4 linked regions of the Arabidopsis thaliana genome follow. The protein of the gene in region 1 interacts with the protein of each later gene in a pairwise test. Each region holds a gene or a part of one and is shown on either strand. Other genes may lie near its edges. The genes, in order: NF-YB7, WRKY42, AT2G18850 and GT-1.

Region 1 (4,147 bases):
GATCTGATGAGCTACTTGAGACGGACCGGCTGACGAGATGCTTCAGACGGGTGAGCTGACGAGCTGGTTGAGACGGGAGAGCTGACGAGCTTCTCTTTGTCTCTAAGTGTGCATATGTTTTTTTTTTTTGATCATATTGTAAACAATATAGTTTAAAACCTGATGGTGGGAATATTCCCGCTATACAACAGTATCTCAATATTTCCGGTAGAAGGAATTTTAGATTTGTCTTTCATGGTAAAAGAGAAAGATAATTGATAATGTATCCATAAGAATCCATCCACAATATAAATGTATTAATTCGTTTGTCTGATTGGATAATTCATTATCACTGGATGACATTTATATTAAGTTTTAACGTATTTGTAAACATAATTAGCTAGAATGATTTACCAAATAAACAATAGTTCAAAATACACAAAATTATTTATTTTTCTTCGCATTGTTAACTGATATCAAATGTTAGATGCACTTGAAAAAATGTTGTTATGGATGGAACAAACAAATAATATGATACAAACCACTAAAACATTCAACAGCAATATAGAGATAAGATTATCGATATGGTTAATGTATCCATATCAAACGCTTTTCATGTTGAAAGATAAAGATAATTGTTAATGTATCCATATGAATCCATCCACAACATAACTGTATTAATTCGTTTGTCTGATTGGATAATTCACTATGACTGGATGACATTTATATTAAGATTTACAAATAAACATCAATCCAAAGTACATTATCCATGTTTCTTTGACCATTTATCCACATGTATATAGACATGTTGATACAATTTTATCGAGCTATAAACATATTCGCAGCAAATCAAAGACATATTTGTCCATTAATGATTGTCCAAGCAGTCCAGTCCATGATCATCTAAAGACTCACATGATAGTTTCATACTAATACATAAGTTTATACATGAACAATAAACGTCAATCCAAAGTATATTATCCATGTTTCTTTGACCATTTATCCACATGTGTATAGACAGTCAGTTACGTAGACCTCAGTCAGTTAAGGAACTTCTCCAAATCTGCCAACATCTCTACATATTTTAATGTAGACGTAATAGGTTGGTTTGAGGATACGAGGACACCGTCAACAATGAGGAGATAAGCAAGCCGAAGTCTGTGGTAAGAAGATAAGGTCTTGTGATTAACATTTTTGAAATATCACCTAACGTAGCATTCATGTCTTCACCTATTAGCTCTTCACAATGTTGGATATTATAAATAAAATTAGCACACGGTTGAATAATTAGAGCAAATAAAATGATTGGAGAAGATTAATACCTTGCATTTGAGGACCGAGTAGAAGTTACTAGCACACGCCGGAGACGACGAATCGATTGAGAGACAAGAAAATGAAGACCATGACGGGAGAACAAGTGTTGACGACGACGACGGGAGAGGACGAATTAATGTCGGCCGATTGAAAGCTTTGTTGACGATAACGACGGGAGAGGGACGAGGAAATGACTTTGCCGGTAGAAAACTCGTTGGGATGATCGCCGGAGTCGAGATGATGTTATCGTCGTTGTGATGATTTTAACTGCCCAGATAAATGAAACTGTAAAATCGTCGTGAAGGATTGGGTGAGAAAAAGAGGTTTCTCACAAATTGGTTTTAGTTTAGAGATTGAGATTAAAAAATTAAACCGAAAACCGGCTAAATTTGTTAGGTTTTGTTAAACTAACGATTTCAGGGTAAAGGGGTAATTCTACTGAGTTAAAGTGACTAATGCTTTTAAAGTGCCTATTTGTGGCCAAAGTTTCAAAATAGTGCCTTTACGTGTAATATTCTCGGATAAATAACCACCATATATATTTACCAGGCTAGAGTTTAGGAAATTACTATAATACAATAAATCAAAGCATTATGGAGACATGATAATTTATAGTTGTCTACATACTAAATAAACATACTACGGAAAATAATAAATTGAAAACACTATTTGATGACAATATGTTACATGATTGCTATTTTCTTACACTTTTCTTTATTATCTGGCAAATAACAAAGAAAAAAAAAAAAAAAAAAAAAAAGGAGCGAGTCGCATGGAGTTCCAAATTTGGTTGGCAAGGTATCCATAAATAGAAAAGTTGCCTAGTTTCATGCACTAAGCTTAACCATAAAATCAGATTGATCACATGTGGTTAACATCAATCACAAAAAAAAACAAAGAGATAGAGATATGACTGAGGAGAGCCCAGAAGAAGATCATGGGTCTCCTGGAGTAGCTGAAACAAATCCAGGAAGCCCTTCTTCAAAGACCAACAACAACAACAACAACAACAAAGAACAAGACCGGTTTCTTCCCATTGCGAATGTCGGAAGGATCATGAAAAAAGTTCTTCCCGGTAACGGTAAGATCTCAAAAGACGCTAAAGAAACCGTTCAAGAATGTGTCTCGGAGTTCATTAGTTTCGTCACTGGTGAAGCTTCTGACAAGTGTCAAAGAGAAAAGAGGAAGACCATCAATGGAGATGATATCATTTGGGCTATCACAACTCTCGGTTTCGAAGACTACGTGGCTCCATTAAAGGTCTACCTCTGCAAATATAGAGACACCGAAGGAGAGAAAGTTAACAGCCCAAAACAACAACAACAAAGACAACAACAACAGCAGATTCAACAACAGAATCATCATAATTATCAGTTTCAAGAACAAGACCAAAACAATAACAACATGTCATGTACTAGTTACATCTCTCATCATCATCCTTCTCCATTCCTACCAGTGGATCATCAACCTTTTCCCAATATTGCTTTCTCTCCTAAATCATTGCAGAAACAGTTCCCGCAGCAGCATGATAATAACATTGATTCAATTCACTGGTGAGAGAGACATTTGCTTTTTTTCTTCTTTCTTTTCACATATTATATGCTTTTCTTTACCTTTTGTGAGTACATCTTGATGCTTATATATATTTGTTGCTATATAGACACTAGACACGTACATTTTGATATTTTCAGTATACCCATGGTTTTGTGTAACAGAAATTCGTCTTCATATATTTTCCGGATTAGTTCGTCTCGAGCAAATATAGCAATCTCTCATGATTTACAACAGTAGAAACTAATTCCATGCTGCTAATTGGATTAGAATACTTACCACCTACGGTTTGAGAGTTAGTGGTCTAGCTTATAAGGTTTCCAGTAGAGAATAGCTTAATTGGAAGAGAATGGTGTATTGTTTCTCATTCATTTACTCATGTTATGATTGATAAAGATGATTGCTTGAATTAAAGAACTTCAAATTGTTCCTCACTCACTACTCTTAGTATCTTGACCTGAAACTATAAGTTATAAAAGTAAATGCATTTCTAATACGATGTATGTAAAATGTTGCTGCTATGAATCTGATTGAATATAACTTCTTTTTTACATATAAATAAGAGAAAGTGGAAGCTATGAATCTGATTGGATAACAAACAACCCAATTATATATTTTTTTTTTTTTTACATAAGAACAAGAGAAAGCAGTAGCTATGAATTTGATTGGGTATAAAGCAACCCCAATTATAAATTTTTACATATAAATAAGAGAAAGTAGACTTATTCATTTTGGGAACCAAACTTAGTCATCCTTGTAGACCAAAGTCGGGTACTCTGGATTCCACATGTTGTTTTCCACATACTCCATCAGCCCCTCCTGCGGAATACACAAGACCGCGTCAACATAACTAACATTTAGGCTTAGTTTCTGGTTTAGTCTTTATTTTCTCTAAGTGAGAAATCAGGTAAACACTCTTCTGTTCTTTACATATAATCAAACCCGATCGACATTCTTCGTAGAATACGATTTTATGATCAGGAGTCCAAAACACGTGAAAGATGGGATGTTGTTTTGACATCTTTTCTTTTTCTATCATTTATGATTATATTAAAGCAAGTCATTAGCTGAATTGTTACCTCATCCAGCTTTTGGATCTCTCGAGCGTCCATTTCTCTATATCCTTCAACCAAATCCTCCTCAATCGCTTCCTTAATCACCGCAGCTGCTATTCTTTTTGTTATGTCTCGTATCCTGAAATTTCAATTCCACATGCCAAATGTAGCAACTATATCAAAACATTTTCTTATGTAACAGTAAGGATGTTCTTTGATTGTGTTACTCTTACCTTGATATTGGAGGG
Region 2 (6,400 bases), on another chromosome or scaffold:
TTAGTTACACAAAGAGTGGTGGTAATAAAACGAAAGAATAACCAGTTGTTCAATATGACTCAAATACTAGTTTAGAATTCATTTCGAAATTCTCGGATTTAAAGAAAAATGAGTCCAAACGTTAAAAACTAATTAATGATATATAATATTTTGATAATTTACCAATTTGGAACTTTTTATTTATAGAAAACTTAGTGGGACTCACAGCCAGTCACCGGTCAGTAATGTGTGAGGTATTCCATTAATCTCGTTGACTTAGCTCAACCATTGTCTATTGTCTGTTGAAATCAAATTTTTACGGAGAACAAAAGTTTATGCAAAACTAATATTAGTAAGTGTCTTGAAATATTAAATATTTTAAAAGATTAGCTCAACTCAAAACCTTAGTCTTTCAATTTATATGATGAATCTTTCAAAACCACCACAAAATCTTTATTTAAGCTTGTAGATACATTAGACACATCATCACAAAATTTTCGTACATGTTTGAGTCTATGTGATTTATTTAATAGGCATTAAATAGAAATAAAGCTTTTAATAATTTCAATCACGTGTGAAGCGGCGATTGAATTGCGAACGGTGATGAGATGCATTTCTATTTTCTGATCTATTTTTTCTATGAACAAGTCAAAAGTCTTTCTAATAGAAAAAGGGAAAAAGAAAAATAATTTTAAGTAATTTAGTCCAAAAAAAAAGAAAAATCTATTATGAGAATTATGCTAAAAATAGTTTTTTCTTATCTAAAGCTCCTATATTTGACTATCAACCAAGGATTCAAAGTTTTACTAATTAGGACAAAGTCTTTGAAAACATTTCGTAGATTAGAGTGCTTTTTTTAGAAAAAATATTCTTCGGTGAGATTTTTCAGTAGAATAGATTGGTCAATATTAATTTATATAATCCCAATATATATAACTAAACCCTTTAAAGAAAAAAAAACATTCTAGATGATACTACGATAATTTACCAATTTAGTACTTTTTATTTCTTTTTATCTGTTTATTAGTTAAAATAACTTTTGTTGTTTAAACAAATTATGTCACTTAAACGCAAAATTCAATTTCGTTTTCTCTGTTTGTTTTCCTAATTAAACTTTTAGTAGAGTATATGAAGTACGTAATTAACCATTTTCCAATATTAGTCAAGTGACTTTGACTTTTTTGAATAAATAATCTTCTAGATGATTACAGTTTAGTCCCAAATTAGTAAAAATTTCAAGGGTGATTTAAATAAATAACATGTTAATTTATCTGATATCACTGTATTTCAATAAAATGTGCCGTTTTGTATTTCTTTTGCTTATGACATGTTAAAACAGTAAAATATTGCAGTTAATCAAAAACAATAGTCTTTCATGTATTAATTCAATTTTACTCGAGTACAAAAAAGTATTAATCAAAACATATGCATTTCCATTAACTAGTTAAAATGACCCCGACTTTTGTCTATAGAAATATAATTTTATGATTGATTGACGAGGATTTTGTTATAGGTTGTGTTAGTGTTTTCGTTATGTTATAGTGGATAGTCCACATTGTTGACACAAATTATATGATTATTAAAATTCTAATTTATGTATGATTTAAACAAACAACATGTTAATTTATCTGATAGTAAGTGTTACTATCAGAAAACACGAAACTTTACACCTTAATATATAATACGTGTTTGCTAATTTACCCAATAACAACTTATCTTACTAAATATAGAATTTTGCTAGGATACGAAAACGTATTTTAATGGTACATTTTCTCCAATTTACTATATTTTCTATCATAATACGTCAAGTAATTCTTTAAGAGAAGAATCAACCTAATTTTTTAAGAATATCAGCAAACCGCAAGAAGTGGCTTTAAGGAAAAAAACAACTTCTTTAATAAATCATACCTCTTCGTTGACAAAAAAAAAAGAAAAAAAAAGCACACAACTCCCTCTCGTAAGCAACAGTTGATTAGTTTTACTCTTTTCGAATTGCTTGATCCAACAACACGTCTGTAATATAAAACAAATTGTTGGGTCGTATGATATATTTGTTAACTTTGGACAAAAAAATGACATGTTTGTTAATAATATAGGTCTATGACGTCGACACTGACGAAAAACGAACCAAAACAAATCTTCACAAATATCTTTCCACGAGAATCTAAGATTTAAACCGATATTATTATGTAGAAGCAGACATAAAACAAATATAGACAACAATATTGTCTTTATATAACAATATTGCTTATTAAAAAAAAAAAGAGAGTTATAAATAATATTAGTAGAAAAAATTGACAATATCTGAGTCCACGTCAAAACCCTTTTTGTAGCCGAAGCATCTGGTTCTCTATCCTCGTCTCTAACCACATACTAGACAAAGTATCTCTCATATCTCTCTCTTCTAAGATATCTTCTTCTTCACCTCTCTATATATGGATGATTAGATATGGTACGGAACAATCACTCACACACAAAACACACTCTAGATATAAAGGATTAGATACGTAACATATCCTTTTTTTGGTTACTAGGGTTTCGGAAATTTGGATATCAAATTTTAACATCAAGCAAATCATCATCCGTACGTACTCATTCATACTTTTGTAACAAAAAAAAAAAACAATCTAAGATATCTATCAAGATCTTAAGATATCTACATTTATAGAGATGTTTCGTTTTCCGGTAAGTCTTGGAGGAGGTCCACGTGAGAATCTGAAGCCATCAGATGAGCAGCATCAACGTGCGGTGGTGAATGAGGTTGACTTTTTCCGATCAGCGGAGAAGAGAGATAGGGTTTCACGTGAAGAACAAAACATTATCGCCGATGAGACTCATAGGGTTCATGTCAAAAGGGAGAATTCACGTGTTGATGATCATGACGATCGTTCTACTGATCACATCAATGTAAGCAGATGGTTAACTCATCGCTTTTGTTTTCTTTGTTTTTTTTTTATTATCTAGAAGTTCAAGCTAAAAATTCTACATTTCCGATATGCGAAACCCACATTAGATTAAATTCATTTTTTTTGGAGAAGAGATCGTTCCCAACGTGCATCAAACCCAGTACATCCACATGAGAAATTTACCACTGGACCAACAGCTCGTTGGTTACTTCATTGTTTTCCTTTTCGTCAATATCATTTAATTACTTCGGATTTTAGTTAGTAATATTATAAAACAATAATTTCGTTATATAGATGAAAACTTTGTTCATTGAAATGTGTATGATTATTGTAAATAGATTGGACTTAATCTTCTCACTGCGAATACGGGAAGCGACGAGTCAATGGTGGATGATGGATTGTCTGTGGATATGGAAGAGAAACGTACAAAGTGTGAGGTACACTTATTATTCAATTAGTATAGATCATTTTTGAGTAATAATAACAAAAAAAAGACACAACTAGTGTATTTATCGCACGAACCAAAGAAAAAGAGATTGTCAAAATCCAACAAATAAAAAATGATTGTCAAAAACCATCAAGAGTGTATATTTTTGTGCGTCTGTTACGTACGTAAACAATTTTCCGCTTTTCTGATTCGTCAGAATTTTAAATAATATCTGATGACAAAAAAAATAAAAATATTTTTATGCTAAATTTTGATTATTTTTACTGTTCATCTTCATTTTGTCACATAATTAAGCATAAAAAGATATTTTCTGATTTTCTCTACAAATTTTTTATTTCTTAAGAATTAGTAAAAATATACCGTTTTCGTAGACTTAGACATTCTATTTTTATATGTTGTTCGTATCGGTCCGTAAGATCCGGACATGTTAGAGAGATTTACTCTTTCTTACTAGAATGATTTAATGTCTGATACATGATTTTTTTGTTTTTTAATAAAATGAAGAATGCACAACTTCGCGAAGAGCTAAAGAAGGCGAGTGAAGATAATCAAAGACTAAAGCAAATGCTAAGTCAAACAACCAACAACTTCAATTCCTTGCAGATGCAACTTGTTGCTGTCATGAGGCAACAAGAAGATCATCATCACCTAGTAATTAATTAACACTCTAATACGTCTTAATCATTTATTTCATATAATTAGTTAAAGATTTTATACCCTTGTTTTTCATCAGGCTACGACCGAGAACAATGACAATGTAAAGAACCGACATGAAGTGCCTGAAATGGTTCCAAGACAGTTCATCGATTTGGGACCGCATTCTGACGAAGTGTCGTCCGAGGAGAGGACGACGGTTCGGTCGGGATCTCCTCCCTCGCTTCTAGAGAAATCTAGCTCACGTCAAAACGGAAAGAGAGTGCTTGTAAGAGAAGAAAGCCCGGAAACCGAATCCAACGGCTGGAGAAACCCTAACAAAGTTCCTAAACACCATGCATCATCCAGCATTTGCGGTGGCAATGGCAGTGAAAATGCAAGTAGCAAGGTCATTGAGCAAGCGGCCGCCGAAGCCACCATGCGTAAAGCCCGTGTCTCGGTTCGTGCTCGATCCGAAGCTCCCATGGTAATACTAATTAATCTTCCTCTCTAGAATTTCTATGAAGATTGATCTCTACAAATGTTTTTGGAGGTTCATTAACATCAATGACATTGTTTTACAGTTAAGCGATGGATGTCAATGGAGAAAATACGGACAAAAAATGGCGAAAGGAAACCCGTGCCCTCGAGCTTATTACCGTTGCACAATGGCTGTTGGATGTCCTGTTCGCAAGCAAGTACGTTACCTAAACAATTCACACATCTAAAATTATGTTTGAAGGTGATCAATCAAGTGTAATAATTTAGAGAAAAAAAAAATAATGTATTGTAACAAACTCATGATGACCTAACAGGTGCAACGTTGCGCGGAAGATAGAACCATTCTCATAACAACCTACGAAGGAAACCATAACCATCCATTACCTCCTGCGGCTATGAACATGGCTTCAACTACAACAGCAGCCGCAAGCATGCTTCTCTCAGGCTCCACCATGTCGAACCAAGACGGTTTAATGAACCCAACAAATCTCTTGGCTCGAACCATATTACCGTGTTCCTCAAGCATGGCTACTATCTCAGCCTCTGCACCATTCCCAACCATTACATTAGACCTCACAGAGTCACCCAACGGGAACAATCCAACCAATAACCCGCTGATGCAATTCTCTCAACGGTCTGGTTTGGTGGAGTTGAACCAATCGGTTTTGCCTCATATGATGGGTCAGGCTTTGTACTACAACCAACAGTCTAAGTTTTCGGGTTTACATATGCCGTCTCAGCCGCTAAACGCTGGTGAGAGTGTTAGCGCCGCTACTGCCGCAATCGCCTCCAATCCCAACTTTGCCGCGGCTCTAGCTGCAGCCATAACTTCGATTATCAACGGTTCGAACAATCAGCAGAATGGGAACAACAATAACAGTAATGTTACAACGAGCAACGTTGACAATAGGCAATAACATTTTTTTATAAGTTTTAGTTAGGGACTTTTTATCGGTCGATTTTGTTTTGTTTTTCTTTTATTACATTATTTTTTAGTTACGGCTTTTTTTTGTTTTTTCTTTTCTTTCCCAAACAACAAGTATTGAGAGCAATTCCCCCCCCCCCCCCTCTTTTCCTTCTGTATGATCGACAATTGTGTTCAGAAATATAAAATTGCTTAATTTTTCCAGAAGCTATTAATTCTTATGAAGTCATCAAATGCGCATCTATGTGCCATTAATTATGATCAAACTCGATGTATTGTGCCTAAAACGGAAGCTCAACAAGCAAATGCTTTAGGCATTATAAATATATTATGATTTTAGGGCATCAAATTTAAGAAATCTCCTTACAGTGTAGCCGTTTGTGTAATATTTTATTGGTGGGTCAATAATATTTTTTGCTTTAGGGAGCCCAAACACTTAGACTCTGAACATCGGTACGATGTTTTATTTGTGGTGGATATATGGAACTGCTATTAACGTACTTACTCACTCTAAAATTAGTCGATGCTGACCTCAAGAGTTTGGCTTGTGAAAAGTTGATGACCAGACTAAATCGATATGTCACTTGTCAAGTGTGGCATTATTTTAAAGGTTGGTTAAATATATAATTTAAGTGAAAGATTGGACATTTTATCCAAAAAAAAACAGAATTAGACTGGATTTTGAGAAAGTGAAGAATGTTCCCGCATACGCAAATAGAAACATAGTTGAGAAACTAGGATATCTACATTTGTATTATAAAATAAATTATACTATGGCTTTGAATGGGTCCATATGACGTGGATTGGACAATGCGCATATCAATATTTTAATAAGAAAAATGTCGGAATATAGTATATATGGAGCAAACAATATGTTGGTATAAAGTTTATATATGATGATATGGAGTTTTTGGAGAGTAGAATGAAAAAAAGTCAGACTAACAGTTAATTTATAATGGTATCAAATTTTATGCTAAGTGTGTACTAGTATGAAAATTTTTAGTCTGC
Region 3 (6,502 bases), 2.5 Mb from region 1:
CGGATCGTGAGTAATTTGAAGCTTGTGGTGTTTCCTAATCCGTATAGGGAAGATCCTGGGAAGGCTCTTAGAGATTGGGATCTTTGGGGTCCGTTTTTCTTCATTGTGTTCTTGGGTCTTACTCTTTCATGGTCAGCTTCCGTCAAGAAGGTTAGCTCTCAGATCAGTAGCTAGTTTCTCTCAGCTTTAAGCTTGTGTGATCTAAATGTGATCTGGAACTTTAGCTTTTAGGTATCTGATAGAGTTCTTTAGAATGTCTCTGTTACAGAAAATGAGTGGGATTAAAGATAGCATTTCACTTCATTGCATTAAGATTGTTCCTTCAATTGTGAATTGTTTGATTATAGATGGAACACGATGACGGGAAACAAGGATTGAGTTACAGAAAATTAGGAGTTTTTAAATGGGAGTGAAGATAGCATTTCCACTTCTTTGCATTAAGATTGTTCTCCAATTGTGATTTTTTAGATTATAGAAGGAACATGATGAAGAAAAATGAGGACTGTTCTTGTGGCATTGCTTCTCACTTGATTCTTAGGCTATAGGTTATATAAAGCTTCTTTCTTGTACAGTGGATCATGTAGGATTTTGACTCACAAAGTAGCACTTTGGATGCACTATTCTGAGTTATTAGCATGTAGGTCTGATTAAAGGATTGAATTTGAATCTGATGTAATTACAGCTTATCTTGCCGATATTGAGTGGCTTTTCATAGAATGCTATCTATTATCTATCAGAATTCGTCTTTGTCTCATACCTTTTCCCTTTGATTCCAGTCCGAGGTATTTGCAGTGGCATTTGCACTATTAGCAGCCGGGGCGGTGATCCTTACACTAAACGTGCTTCTCCTGGTAAACCACCACTGCTCTCTCCTTGTATCTCGTGCAGATGTTTTTCGTTTGATCACATACTTACAACCATTATGTTGTGTCATGAACAGGGTGGACATATAATCTTCTTCCAAAGCTTGAGCCTTCTAGGTTACTGTTTATTTCCGCTAGACGTTGGAGCCGTGATCTGCATGTTGAAAGACAATGTGATACTGAAGATGGTGGTTGTGTCTGTAACCCTTGCCTGGAGCTCATGGGCTGCTTACCCTTTTATGAGCTCAGCGGTTAACCCAAGAAGAAAAGCACTCGCTCTATACCCCGTCTTCCTCATGTATGTGTCAGTCGGTTTTCTCATCATAGCCATCAATTGAATCCCCAATTTTGAGAAGAAAAAGGGAATCATCACAGGTATTCTCAGGAATCAGCTTGGATAGAAATTTTTCATACATACACAAACCATCCTGAGTTCTGATGATCATGTATAAACATGTTTTGTTACCCTTTTTTGTGGGTTTGGTTAAAAAGAAGATCATCATTTGTATGTGCCCCGCTCTATCTGCATTAAGCTTACATTTATCTTTTTGGCCATAAATACAATTTTTTTACCAAACATTACTTCATATGGTTTCTCGAGATAGTATCGACATGCAATTTTGTTGGTCGTCCACCCAACCCTAAACACGTGTTATAGTATTAACATGGAAATGTGGAAACCAGATCACAACCATGCTAAAACAAGGGTTAAATTTTATTTAGTAATCATTAGCATAATCGAATAGATTATGAACATATTTTTGATATATAATAATACCAAATTCAATATTTGCTTTAAATTTATATTTATATTTTGGAATCGCAATAAAAAAATTGTTTACACAATCCATCATTCGTTATTTTCAAAATTATTCTACTTATTTTATTCATTTCAAAATTATTCGAATACATTAATGAACATCATTCATTTTTCAATTTTTTTTTGTTATTCAACTTATTTATTCATTTTTATTTATTTATTCAACTTTTTAATTTTTATTTTGTTGTTAGCTTCCATTTGCATATGCTTCGTATCGTATATCATCACTTCCAGTTTTTTACCGGTTGGGGGGGGGGGGGGGGAAGAAGCAGAGATGATTCGTCAACAAACAAAAACGAATTTATTTTGAACCAAACCGGATGTATATTTTAAACCGAAATCAAACCGGGAAAACCTGTATTGACGAGCCCTCTTCTTCTTCAGCTAGTGAGAGGCTGCCTCACTTGCTTGCTGGTTTGATACTGCCAAGTTTTTCGCTTTCTCAGCTCTTCCTTCGATGGTAATCTTCAAATTCCTTTCCTTTAGACCCTTATTAATCTTATTGCTTTTGTAATAGACTTGGTTTAGTGTGTTTTTTGTCGTAGCGAGTTTAATCTTGTTGCTGGTTATTGTAAGGTTGGTGCTTTGAATATCATGTCAGAGACTGGTGATTTATGTGTAGAACTTCCCAAAGATGATCCCTTTTATCACCACAAAAAGGTTCAATTTCCTAATTTCTCTGCTCTTCTGTTATCTCAATACTCAAAGCCATTAGCTTTTTTTTTGCCTTATAGTCTAAAGATCAGATTTTTCATGTGCCAAAGTCTTAAAATATTACACTGTTTAGTTTTTCTCATGTTTTGTTTGAGTTTTTATGAAAATGAATTTTCTTATGATTTTGTGTCTGTAGAAGTTCTTGAGTTGCAAAGGTTTATGCGTAAAGGAAACATTGAACCTCAGTGGATCATTATCTCAACAACTGTTGAATGCTGCATTGGAAAAGTTGCTTCATTTTGGACGAATAGTTAATCTCGATAAGGTAAGCAAACATCGTAGGCCATTGTAATGCATGTGAAGTTGCTTAGATGATGGATTGAGTGAAATGCAGGTGGAAGTTTACTTTGGTGAGGATGCTTGCACTCCTGCAGGAATTTACAGTGTTAGAAACGAAATCTCAGCTCTCAGCTGGATCCTTTCGCTTATACCGGTTTCTTGTAAGATGCAAACACAAGTTGATACCTTTGAAGCTCTACGAGCTGCTTTAAAAGGTAGAATCAATGAGGTTGTTGGAGCTGAAAAGGAGAAAGCTAGAGTTGTTGATAGCTATAGATGCGAAAAGGAAAGCAAATTAGTAGAATGGGGTCAGGACAATGGAGTCAAAACCAAATTGCAGATAGCTCGTAAGCTTAACGGTTTTTTTCTGTTATGAAGTTATCAACAGAGATTTAAGTTTATGACAATGTGTTTTATAAATTTGGATAGAAATTGATGGCTATGGACGAGGAGCTATAGCTAGCGAAGACTTGAAATTTGGCGATGTTGCTTTAGAGATTCCAGTCTCAAGTATCATTTCGGAGGAGTATGTGTACAACTCCGACATGGTATATCATTTGAGTTCATCCTGATTTAAAGATTGCGTCAGTTTCATCATAGCAATGCTATATGATGAGTGTTCTCTTGTCTTCAGTACCCAATATTGGAGACGTTTGATGGCATTACATCTGAGACAATGCTGCTCTTATGGACCATGAGGGAAAAGCATAACCTGGACTCGAAATTCAAACCATACTTTGACTCTCTGCAAGAGAATTTTTGTACCGGTAAAATTGTTTGGAGAACTAAATATTCAATTCTTGTAGCAGTGTTTGTTTCAAAGAGACAACAAACATTGATTCTCTCATTGCAGGTTTGAGTTTTGGGGTTGATGCAATCATGGAGCTTGATGGTACATTGCTTTTAGATGAAATAATGCAAGCTAAAGAGGTGTGACTTGATCCCATCTCTTATCTTTTGGTTCTGTGATTTGTATTATGTTCTTGATTCCATTGGCAATTGTTTGTATATCTGCAGCTTTTGCGTGAGAGGTATGATGAATTGATTCCTCTTTTATCGAACCACCGGGAAGTATTTCCACCGGAGCTCTATACATGGGAACATTACTTATGGGCTTGTGAGTTGTATTACTCAAATAGCATGCAAATCAAATTCCCAGATGGAAAGCTGAAGACTTGCTTGATTCCTGTCGCCGGTTTTCTCAACCATTCTGTATGTGTCTTCTCTCGTTCTGCCTCTGGTATACTAAGTAATTCCTATCACTATCCGGAATATGATAATTTGGCGGGTTTTGCAGATATACCCACACATAGTGAAATATGGAAAAGTAGACATTGAGACGAGTTCCTTGAAGTTCCCAGTCTCAAGGCCTTGCAACAAAGGGGAACAATGTTTTCTTAGCTACGGAAACTACTCTAGTTCGCATCTGTTAACATTTTACGGATTTCTACCAAAAGGGGATAACCCGTATGATGTCATTCCCTTAGGTAGTTTAACCTTACCTCATTCTGAGATCACTCAGGCTTACATGCTTTTTTTGCTTTAAGTTGTATCTCTTCCTTGCAGATTTTGATGTCATTGATGATGAAGACATCGAGACCGAGTTTTCTTGGACAACTCACATGTTACGCGGGACTTGGCTATCGAGTAATCACAACATCTTCCACTACGGCTTGCCTACTCCATTGTTGAACTACTTGCGCAAAGCTCATGGTCTTGTTCATCATTCTGAAACAGATGTATATATTCTTCATCACCTTCGTATAACTACATCTATATCTCTATGAATCTAACACTTAAGATATTTTTCTCATTTCTTGATTCTTTTAAGTTATGGAAGAACTTGGAAGTTGAGATAGGAGTACTTGAGAATCTCCAATCCACATTCGACGACATGATGCAAAATCTTGGCGATGCAGATTCTATCGACAGGTATCAGTAGTTGTCTTGTCATGATATACAAAAGCTGAAACAGAGTGACCAATTACTTAGTAATCCGTCTGGTTTTACACTTTTACAGAGAAAACGCGGATTGGGATGTTAAACTAGCGATGGAGTTCAAAGAGCGGCAGAGAAAGATTGTCTCATCCATTCTTGATTCATGTTCTGCAGGTATCAAACTAGTTCAAGAATCCATAACTAACCCACCGGTTTAGCTAAGGTAGAATGAGATGAGAACCTGATCTTGGATTCAGCTTATACTGTATTATGAAATGTATCTTCTTGACAAAGTTAAATTGTGTGAGTTAAAAGACTTTAGTTCAATTTTAGTTACATTTTAGTTACATTTTAGTTACATACTTCCTCTGTTTAATCTCATTAGACACCTCTTTTTTTCTTGCTTATATAATTGCTTCATATCCACGTAATCTCATTAGACACCTCTTTATATAATCTCATTAGAATTTATAAATTTATGTACTTACGTACGTACGTACGTGTGCGACTAACCCTAGACAAATTAACCGAATACTCTTTTTTTTGCAAATGCATCACGCATGGTACCCTAATAGTGGTGTCTCCATCATTTGTCATTACTTTCTGAATGCAAAATGAGTAATCAGATTCATTAACATTTGACTAATACTATATTTTCTCATATTTTTTGTGGGCATAGAGAATTATCAGTATTTTGAGCATATTATAAAAGTAATCTCAAATGGGAAACATAACAAATAATAAAAAAGAATGAAAAAGTTGATGTGGCTGCTGGTGGCAGCAAATTGGCGGACCCCATCTTCCAGGTTACATTCTTGTCGTTTTCCAGCTTCTTAACACAGAGCTATAATCTCATGCACCAAAGAGCATACTAATATCCTATGTCTCCGAGTAATAATCAGCCACGTTTCTATAATAGACACAAGTTGGTGTGACACTGACAAGAAAATAAATAAGATTTATAGAAAGTGGGAACAGAACACAAAAAAAAAGCTGAAACAAAGAGTTCGAGAAAAATTTCGATTCTCTTGCTCGTAAAAGCTTCTTTTGATTCTCTTTGACTCTGTTTTGTGGATAGCTCCTGAAGAAGAAGAAGATGATGGTAGTGAACAGCTTTGATCTATGGCAAAAAGATGTTTTCTTCTCTGCAGCTGAAGAGGTTCAAAAATCTACAGATATGTATGGTTTCTTGTTAGATTTTGATCTTGTAATCTCTTCTTTGAGCTTAGCTTTTGATCTTGCATAAATTAAGAGATTGAGATGTGTTTAATTTGCTATTGTTCTTTACTTGGATTTTAGAATGGAGTCTGCTTATAGATTGTGGATTAGAGAGAAGAAAGATGAGATTTGTAAGGAACTTCAAGCAGCTTTAGGTACAGCTAAATGGCAGGTACAATAATGTTTCTTGAAACATTTCTGGTTTAGTTGTGTTCTTGTTCTTGTCTAGTTCTTGAAAAGTTTTGAAACTGTGTTGAATCAGTTGGAGGAGTTTGAGAAGGCAGTGAGATTGAGTCATAAACGGTGTGGGGATAATGATTCTTCATCCACACGGCATAAACAGTTTGTTACCGCTATTGAAAACCAGATTCATCGCGTAGAAACTTCTCTGCAAGAAGCTTATAGTGAAAATGGGAAAAAGCCTCTCCGTTGGGTTGATCTTAATGAAGAAGAGCGTGATGACTTAGCAATGTTTCTCTCTGGATCTTCTCGAACTTCACAGAGTTTTAGTGGTGAGAGCAGCATCAAGTCGAGAGAGTCTACTAATAGTTCTCTAGTTGAAAACGTTATGGAAGTTTCAGCTAAAGTAACATTCAAGAAAGCTAAAGTTTATGGTGATGGCTCTGAGTGTGTCATAGACATTGAAGAAAGAGTGACACCTGGCCAAGCA
Region 4 (5,621 bases), on another chromosome or scaffold:
CAAGACTTGAGTAGTCCCCTTATAACCGTATCAGCGAGTTTGCAATCTTTTTCCACAAACTGTGTGATACAATAAGACAATTGCTGATGATACATTTGCAAGCTTTTCGGTTTGTGAAGAGGTACCAAAGCTCTAACCAAAAACACTTTATGCTCGTCTTTAAGCGGCAGAGCAAATCCATTGATGATACTTCCCAAAATCTCTAGAAACTCAGCAATCCCATTGTGTTTCTCAGTCTCGAAAACAAACCGATAGAAAATGTTATTAATGGATTTCCTTATGAAAGGACGATGAACCATAAATTTACCGTAGATGCGATGTAGAACGGTCTTAAGACAATCTCTTTCTCTAGGATCCTCTGAATCAAATAAATCAAGTAACCTTGAGACAAAAGATTGGTCAATGTATTTCTTAGCCAGCTTGGTGTCTGTCTCTGGTGAAGCAATAAGCCGCAGGAGAATTTCATAGACAAGCTGCAAGTGAGGCCAAGTAGGATCCATAGAAGGCTCTTCTTCCTCCAAGTCTAACGCATCAATAACTTTATTCTCGCGCGGTTGAGGATTCAAGGTTCTGAATATGTTAACAGAAACCATTCTAACCACTTCTTGAATCACAGTTTCACTAAACTTTCCATTAGGAGAAGCTACATAATCCACAAGCTCAAGCAATGTCTGCCGCTTAATATCCTTTTCCTTAACGTTCTTCGTTGGATCCGAGAAATCGAAAACAACACAGCACAAGCTGAGTTTTCTCACAAACAAGTTCTGTTTCTCTGCATTAGGAACATCTTTGAAACCTGGCAATGCTTCATATGGAGTGAAACCGTTACCATTTCCTTTCAAATTCCCTTCTTTAAACCCTGAATCAGCAGAAGGTTTTACAGGAGGAGCGTTCTGGGTTTGAGAATTACCCGATTTACTGGCGCCATTATCACTACTTTTTGAAGTGGAACTAGATGAAGAAGAATGGTTCTTAGAAGAAGACTTCTTAGGAAGCTTACTCAGAATCTGTTTCCACATAGTGTATTAAACTCAGATTCTTCTTTGTTCATATCCCCAAAACAAACATCTAGAAGAACAATTTCATCAACTCCATCTGAATAACAGAACAAAAAAACAAGAAAAACAGATTAAGAACCTGAAATATTGAAGATATGATACTAAAACACACACAAAGTTAGTTATATCAAGAACCTGAAATGGAGATAAATCCCAAAATTTACCAAATTTATTACAACAAAACCATTTTTTCTTCTTCTTTATTCACTCACGAAACTCAGAAACAGAAAAAAATCACCACTACAAACCATAAAAATCGAAACTTTCGATTCTGATTCTGAAACAAACGCAATCACAAAATCAAAAATCAAGAGAAATCGCACATTACAACACCTCCGATTGCACAAAACAAAGGTCAAAAGTAGGAAAAAAAAAACGATGAATAATGAAATAAAAAAAGCTTACAAAAATTCACATTCAAGTTCTTCTTCCAAAAAAAAACCTCCTTCGATGTTGTTGATTGACTTTGAAATTAAGAATTTGTACCCTTTAGATTTGGCTCAAATCATTGCGAATTGTTGTTATTGTTCTTGATTTTGGTTTTCTTTCTTCTTCTTTGAGATTTGTGACTTCTCGTGATCCAGTTATCTATCATTCTCTCTTCTCCTCCGATGGCTGATCAAACTTTTTTTTCTCAATTCTATTTTAATTTAATTTTAATTGTTTTTTTATTCCCCTTTATTTTAATATTGTTTTTTTTTGTGTGTGTGTTCGGTCTGGCCTGCCAGGTCCACTCCTCCCTCACTTGAATTAGTAATTTTTACAGAATTTTCAAGCTGACAACACTTCAAAATGTTTTAAAATTCCAGATTTTAATTGCCGACCGTAACACTATTATACGACATAGTTTTGAATGTATGTAATAAAATCGGTTATATTGGTTTGGTTTTTCGGTTCAATCTTTCTTGTGTTTAATACAAACTTAATTTCGGTTTATGGTTTTAGTTATTGTTTTGTTCCAAAGAAGAGTGTCTCATTTCTTTTTTGACATTTTCTCCCTTCGAATCTTTGATGCATTTGGTCTTATGGATGCACACAAGATGTAAGTTATATATCAGATGCCAAGGTGATGAAGTTTGATGCATCAAGATACAAACATCACATGCTAATATTTGCAATAACAGATTGACATTACAAAGTTTATATGGCAAAAACATTCAAACCAATTTATATAACCAAAACTTTAAATTTGTAATTATCCTTATCCAAAACCAAATCTCTAGACTAAGATAGAGAAAACCTAACTTAAAGTTAAAACCTTTTTTTTCATTTTGTTCTGAGGGGGCTTTTGTGTTGACGGTGGTGGGAACAAAGGAACATCGTATCCATTCTGTCCGGGAAACACAGCAATGTTCATTTCCGACAAATCTCGTCCTACTGATTTCTACAAAGACGATCATCACAATTCCTCCACCACCAGCACCACACGCGATATGATGATCGATGTACTCACCACTACCAACGAATCAGTAGATCTACAATCTCACCACCACCACAATCACCACAATCATCATCTCCACCAATCTCAGCCACAACAACAGATTCTCCTCGGAGAAAGCAGTGGAGAAGATCACGAAGTTAAAGCACCAAAGAAACGAGCGGAGACATGGGTTCAAGACGAAACTCGTAGCTTAATCATGTTCCGTAGAGGTATGGATGGTTTATTCAATACATCCAAATCTAATAAACATCTCTGGGAACAGATTTCGTCTAAGATGAGAGAAAAAGGGTTTGATCGATCTCCGACTATGTGTACTGATAAATGGAGGAATCTGTTGAAAGAGTTTAAGAAAGCTAAGCATCATGATAGAGGAAATGGATCGGCGAAGATGTCGTATTACAAAGAGATTGAAGATATTCTTAGAGAGAGGAGCAAAAAAGTGACACCACCACAGTATAATAAGAGCCCTAATACACCACCTACATCAGCCAAAGTTGATTCCTTTATGCAATTTACTGATAAAGGTATAAACTTTGGCATCAATTGTAGATTTCTTGATTTGGATTCAGAGAACGTAACTGTGATTATGGTTTTTGTTGCTACTATTTGGGAAAATTCTTATCTGTATCTTAGGCTGAGAAGATACTACATTTTAGAGTAGGTTTCTTATTGTGGTTTTTCAGTTATCTTTAAAGAAGATGATAGTTTTGGTAAATGAATCTGCGTATGTGGATTTTGTGCCTTTAATTTTCTTTTGGCTAAGTGGTAATTTTATCTTTCATTGTAGGTTTTGATGATACGAGCATTTCTTTTGGATCCGTTGAAGGTACTTATCTATCACTATTAGTTTGTTTATTATAGTATCTTGCTATGTATACAAAGAGACGAGCTTTTGTTTGTCTACTGCCTCTTGAAGTTGTCTTTTAAGTTGGTCGAAAACATCTCCCTGAGTGAGCAATAGTAGAGGTATGAACTTGCTTAGTGAAGTGAACATTTGGGACTGAAACAAATAGTAAACATGACTGTGCCGTAGAATTCACAGGCAGTTTCTGTGTTAGATGGTTTAGTTTTGTTTCTAGAGGATGTGTGTGTGTGTGTGTATGTTTGAAAAGTGTATATATATCTATGTTTCAGCTAATGGCAGGCCAGCCTTAAACCTTGAAAGGCGTCTTGATCATGATGGTCATCCTCTTGCAATCACTACAGCAGTTGATGCTGTTGCAGCAAATGGAGTTACTCCTTGGAATTGGAGAGAGACTCCTGGAAACGGCAAGTCCTCAGAAAAAGCTTATATAAACTTAAGCCTCAAAGTTTAATTTTCTATAAGGCTAAAGATATGTTTTTTGAACTGTATGTTTATGTTCCAAGCATGGTGTAATATGTGTAAGAATCCACGTTTTCTCATTTTGAGGTTGCTTCACAGCCTCTGCTCCTCTGCTTGATTTATTCGTTCGGTCTCTTTATAACTGAGTAGAGCTTTTCATTTGTTTCATGTTTATACAAGCAGGTGATGATAGTCATGGTCAGCCTTTTGGTGGTAGGGTCATAACAGTGAAATTTGGTGACTATACAAGAAGAATCGGTGTTGATGGTAGTGCAGAAGCAATCAAAGAGGTAATCAGATCTGCTTTTGGGTTAAGAACTCGAAGGGCTTTTTGGTTAGAAGATGAAGATCAGATTATTCGCTGTCTTGACCGAGACATGCCCTTAGGGAACTATCTACTCCGTCTGGATGATGGTAAGATTAAATTTGCCACTATTCGTATCTTTTGAACTGTGTGTGTGTTTTTTACTGAATTGTCAGTATGCAAAACCCATCTTGCAGGACTGGCCATTAGGGTTTGCCATTATGATGAATCCAACCAATTACCAGTCCATTCAGAAGAGAAAATCTTCTACACTGAAGAAGACTACCGCGAGTTTCTGGCTCGACAGGGATGGTCAAGCCTGCAAGTTGATGGTTTTAGGAACATAGAAAACATGGATGATCTTCAACCTGGTGCTGTGTATCGAGGTGTGAGATGAGGAAATGAGATCACAAAACTTCTTCTCCAATTCTATCAACAGTTATCTGATCAGAAAACAGTCCCCTGTAGATATGATCTCATTCTCTTTATACATTTCTTCTTTTTTTCATGTACTTGCTCAAATATGAAATATCATAACTGGCATTTACCGTACAGACCAAGAAGACCTCAAAATAGATTTTTGGTCTGTTACATTTGTAAGAACAGAACATAAGAGAAGTGAATAAATTGTTCACAATCAGACGAGCGAGTGTTTGTGTGTGGTATCAGAGTCATTCTTCATCCCTTTTATTGTTCTTGTATGAAATGAGTGTGTTCGACCTTGTCAATCTGCAAAGCCAGAGAAACTTTCTGAACTTATACTACTGAGAAAACACTATAATGATTTGATTAACAAACACTAGTATCAAAGAATGTAATTCAACCACTCTCTTGATCCAGGTGAACGGTACAGCCACATCGGTATCAGTAAATGCTCCCAACACAACAAACACACCTTATCCAACCGCCAAGCCGATTAATGTCTCTCTCTCTTACATGTTTCATGGAGACAAGGCAAGCAAGTTATGCTGGAAGCAACTTGTCTCATTATAGCTTGAATCTCCCTCGTGATCTCCTTATTACTTTTCTCCTTTGAGACAGCGTGAAAAGGAGGAAGACAGAATCAAGACAGCATAAACATCACAAACATACAAATGAAACTGAGTTAATTGAAATGTTTATGCATAAATAAACCAACTTCTAGATCTTAAATATCACGTAAGTGGAATAACATTGGTTATAAGCAGATCATCAGGATAAGATTCCAATAGTTAAAGTTTTGCGTCAATAATTGTTTTTGTCGAGAAGGTTTGCATCAATTATTGCATCTTTCTTTCTATCTTTTTTTTTCTTTCTCTTAGAATCGAATTTTAACATATACTTTGATAATGATATATTGTGGTTCTTTTCACTTCACGATTACTTTAGAACATTGTGAATAATGACACTTCAAAATAAAAGGGATAAGATCAGAAATAACATATGAAAATTCCACAAAATCACTACAAATAATTCAGATAATGAAAAAAATACATGTACGTTATGTTATAAAAT

Evidence for each region.
Region 2: the proteins of NF-YB7 (region 1) and WRKY42 interact in a two-hybrid assay, tested with the Arabidopsis thaliana proteins (one large-scale study listed by BioGRID).
Region 3: the proteins of NF-YB7 (region 1) and AT2G18850 interact in a two-hybrid assay, tested with the Arabidopsis thaliana proteins (one large-scale study listed by BioGRID).
Region 4: the proteins of NF-YB7 (region 1) and GT-1 interact in a two-hybrid assay, tested with the Arabidopsis thaliana proteins (one large-scale study listed by BioGRID).

The regions. Positions count from the first base shown.
Region 1 is NC_003071.7:5,654,545-5,658,691, reverse strand, and holds NF-YB7 (nuclear factor Y, subunit B7), read left to right. Parts: upstream 1-2,173; 5' UTR 2,174-2,202; coding exon 2,203-2,850; 3' UTR 2,851-3,301; downstream 3,302-4,147. Other genes in the region: NAD-ME1 (NAD-dependent malic enzyme 1), read right to left, coding at 3,589-3,663, 3,924-4,038, 4,133-4,147.
Region 2 is NC_003075.7:2,215,730-2,222,129, forward strand, and holds WRKY42 (WRKY family transcription factor), read left to right. Parts: upstream 1-2,312; 5' UTR 2,313-2,649; coding exon 2,650-2,886; exon of another isoform or gene 2,887-3,223; coding exon 3,224-3,322; intron 3,323-3,837; coding exon 3,838-3,984; intron 3,985-4,066; coding exon 4,067-4,453; intron 4,454-4,550; coding exon 4,551-4,664; intron 4,665-4,781; coding exon 4,782-5,384; 3' UTR 5,385-5,521; downstream 5,522-6,400. UniProt on the Arabidopsis thaliana protein: Transcription factor. Interacts specifically with the W box (5'-(T)TGAC[CT]-3'), a frequently occurring elicitor-responsive cis-acting element. Modulates phosphate homeostasis and Pi translocation by regulating PHO1 expression.
Region 3 is NC_003071.7:8,158,648-8,165,149, forward strand, and holds AT2G18850 (SET domain-containing protein), read left to right. Parts: upstream 1-1,952; 5' UTR 1,953-2,140; coding exon 2,141-2,143; intron 2,144-2,259; coding exon 2,260-2,343; intron 2,344-2,533; coding exon 2,534-2,662; intron 2,663-2,731; coding exon 2,732-3,023; intron 3,024-3,105; coding exon 3,106-3,224; intron 3,225-3,310; coding exon 3,311-3,443; intron 3,444-3,529; coding exon 3,530-3,606; intron 3,607-3,693; coding exon 3,694-3,888; intron 3,889-3,973; coding exon 3,974-4,163; intron 4,164-4,242; coding exon 4,243-4,415; intron 4,416-4,507; coding exon 4,508-4,608; intron 4,609-4,696; coding exon 4,697-4,832; 3' UTR 4,833-5,115; downstream 5,116-6,502. Other genes in the region: AT2G18840 (Integral membrane Yip1 family protein), read left to right, coding at 1-150, 777-851, 941-1,201; AT2G18860 (Syntaxin/t-SNARE family protein), read left to right, coding at 5,711-5,793, 5,914-6,004, 6,095-6,502.
Region 4 is NC_003070.9:4,611,902-4,617,522, reverse strand, and holds GT-1 (Homeodomain-like superfamily protein), read left to right. Parts: upstream 1-2,263; 5' UTR 2,264-2,407; coding exon 2,408-3,023; intron 3,024-3,286; coding exon 3,287-3,325; coding exon of another isoform or gene 3,326-3,360; intron 3,361-3,633; coding exon 3,634-3,768; coding exon of another isoform or gene 3,769-3,815; exon of another isoform or gene 3,816-4,006; coding exon 4,007-4,237; intron 4,238-4,324; coding exon 4,325-4,524; 3' UTR 4,525-4,792; downstream 4,793-5,621. Other genes in the region: AT1G13460 (Protein phosphatase 2A regulatory B subunit family protein), read right to left, coding at 1-1,019.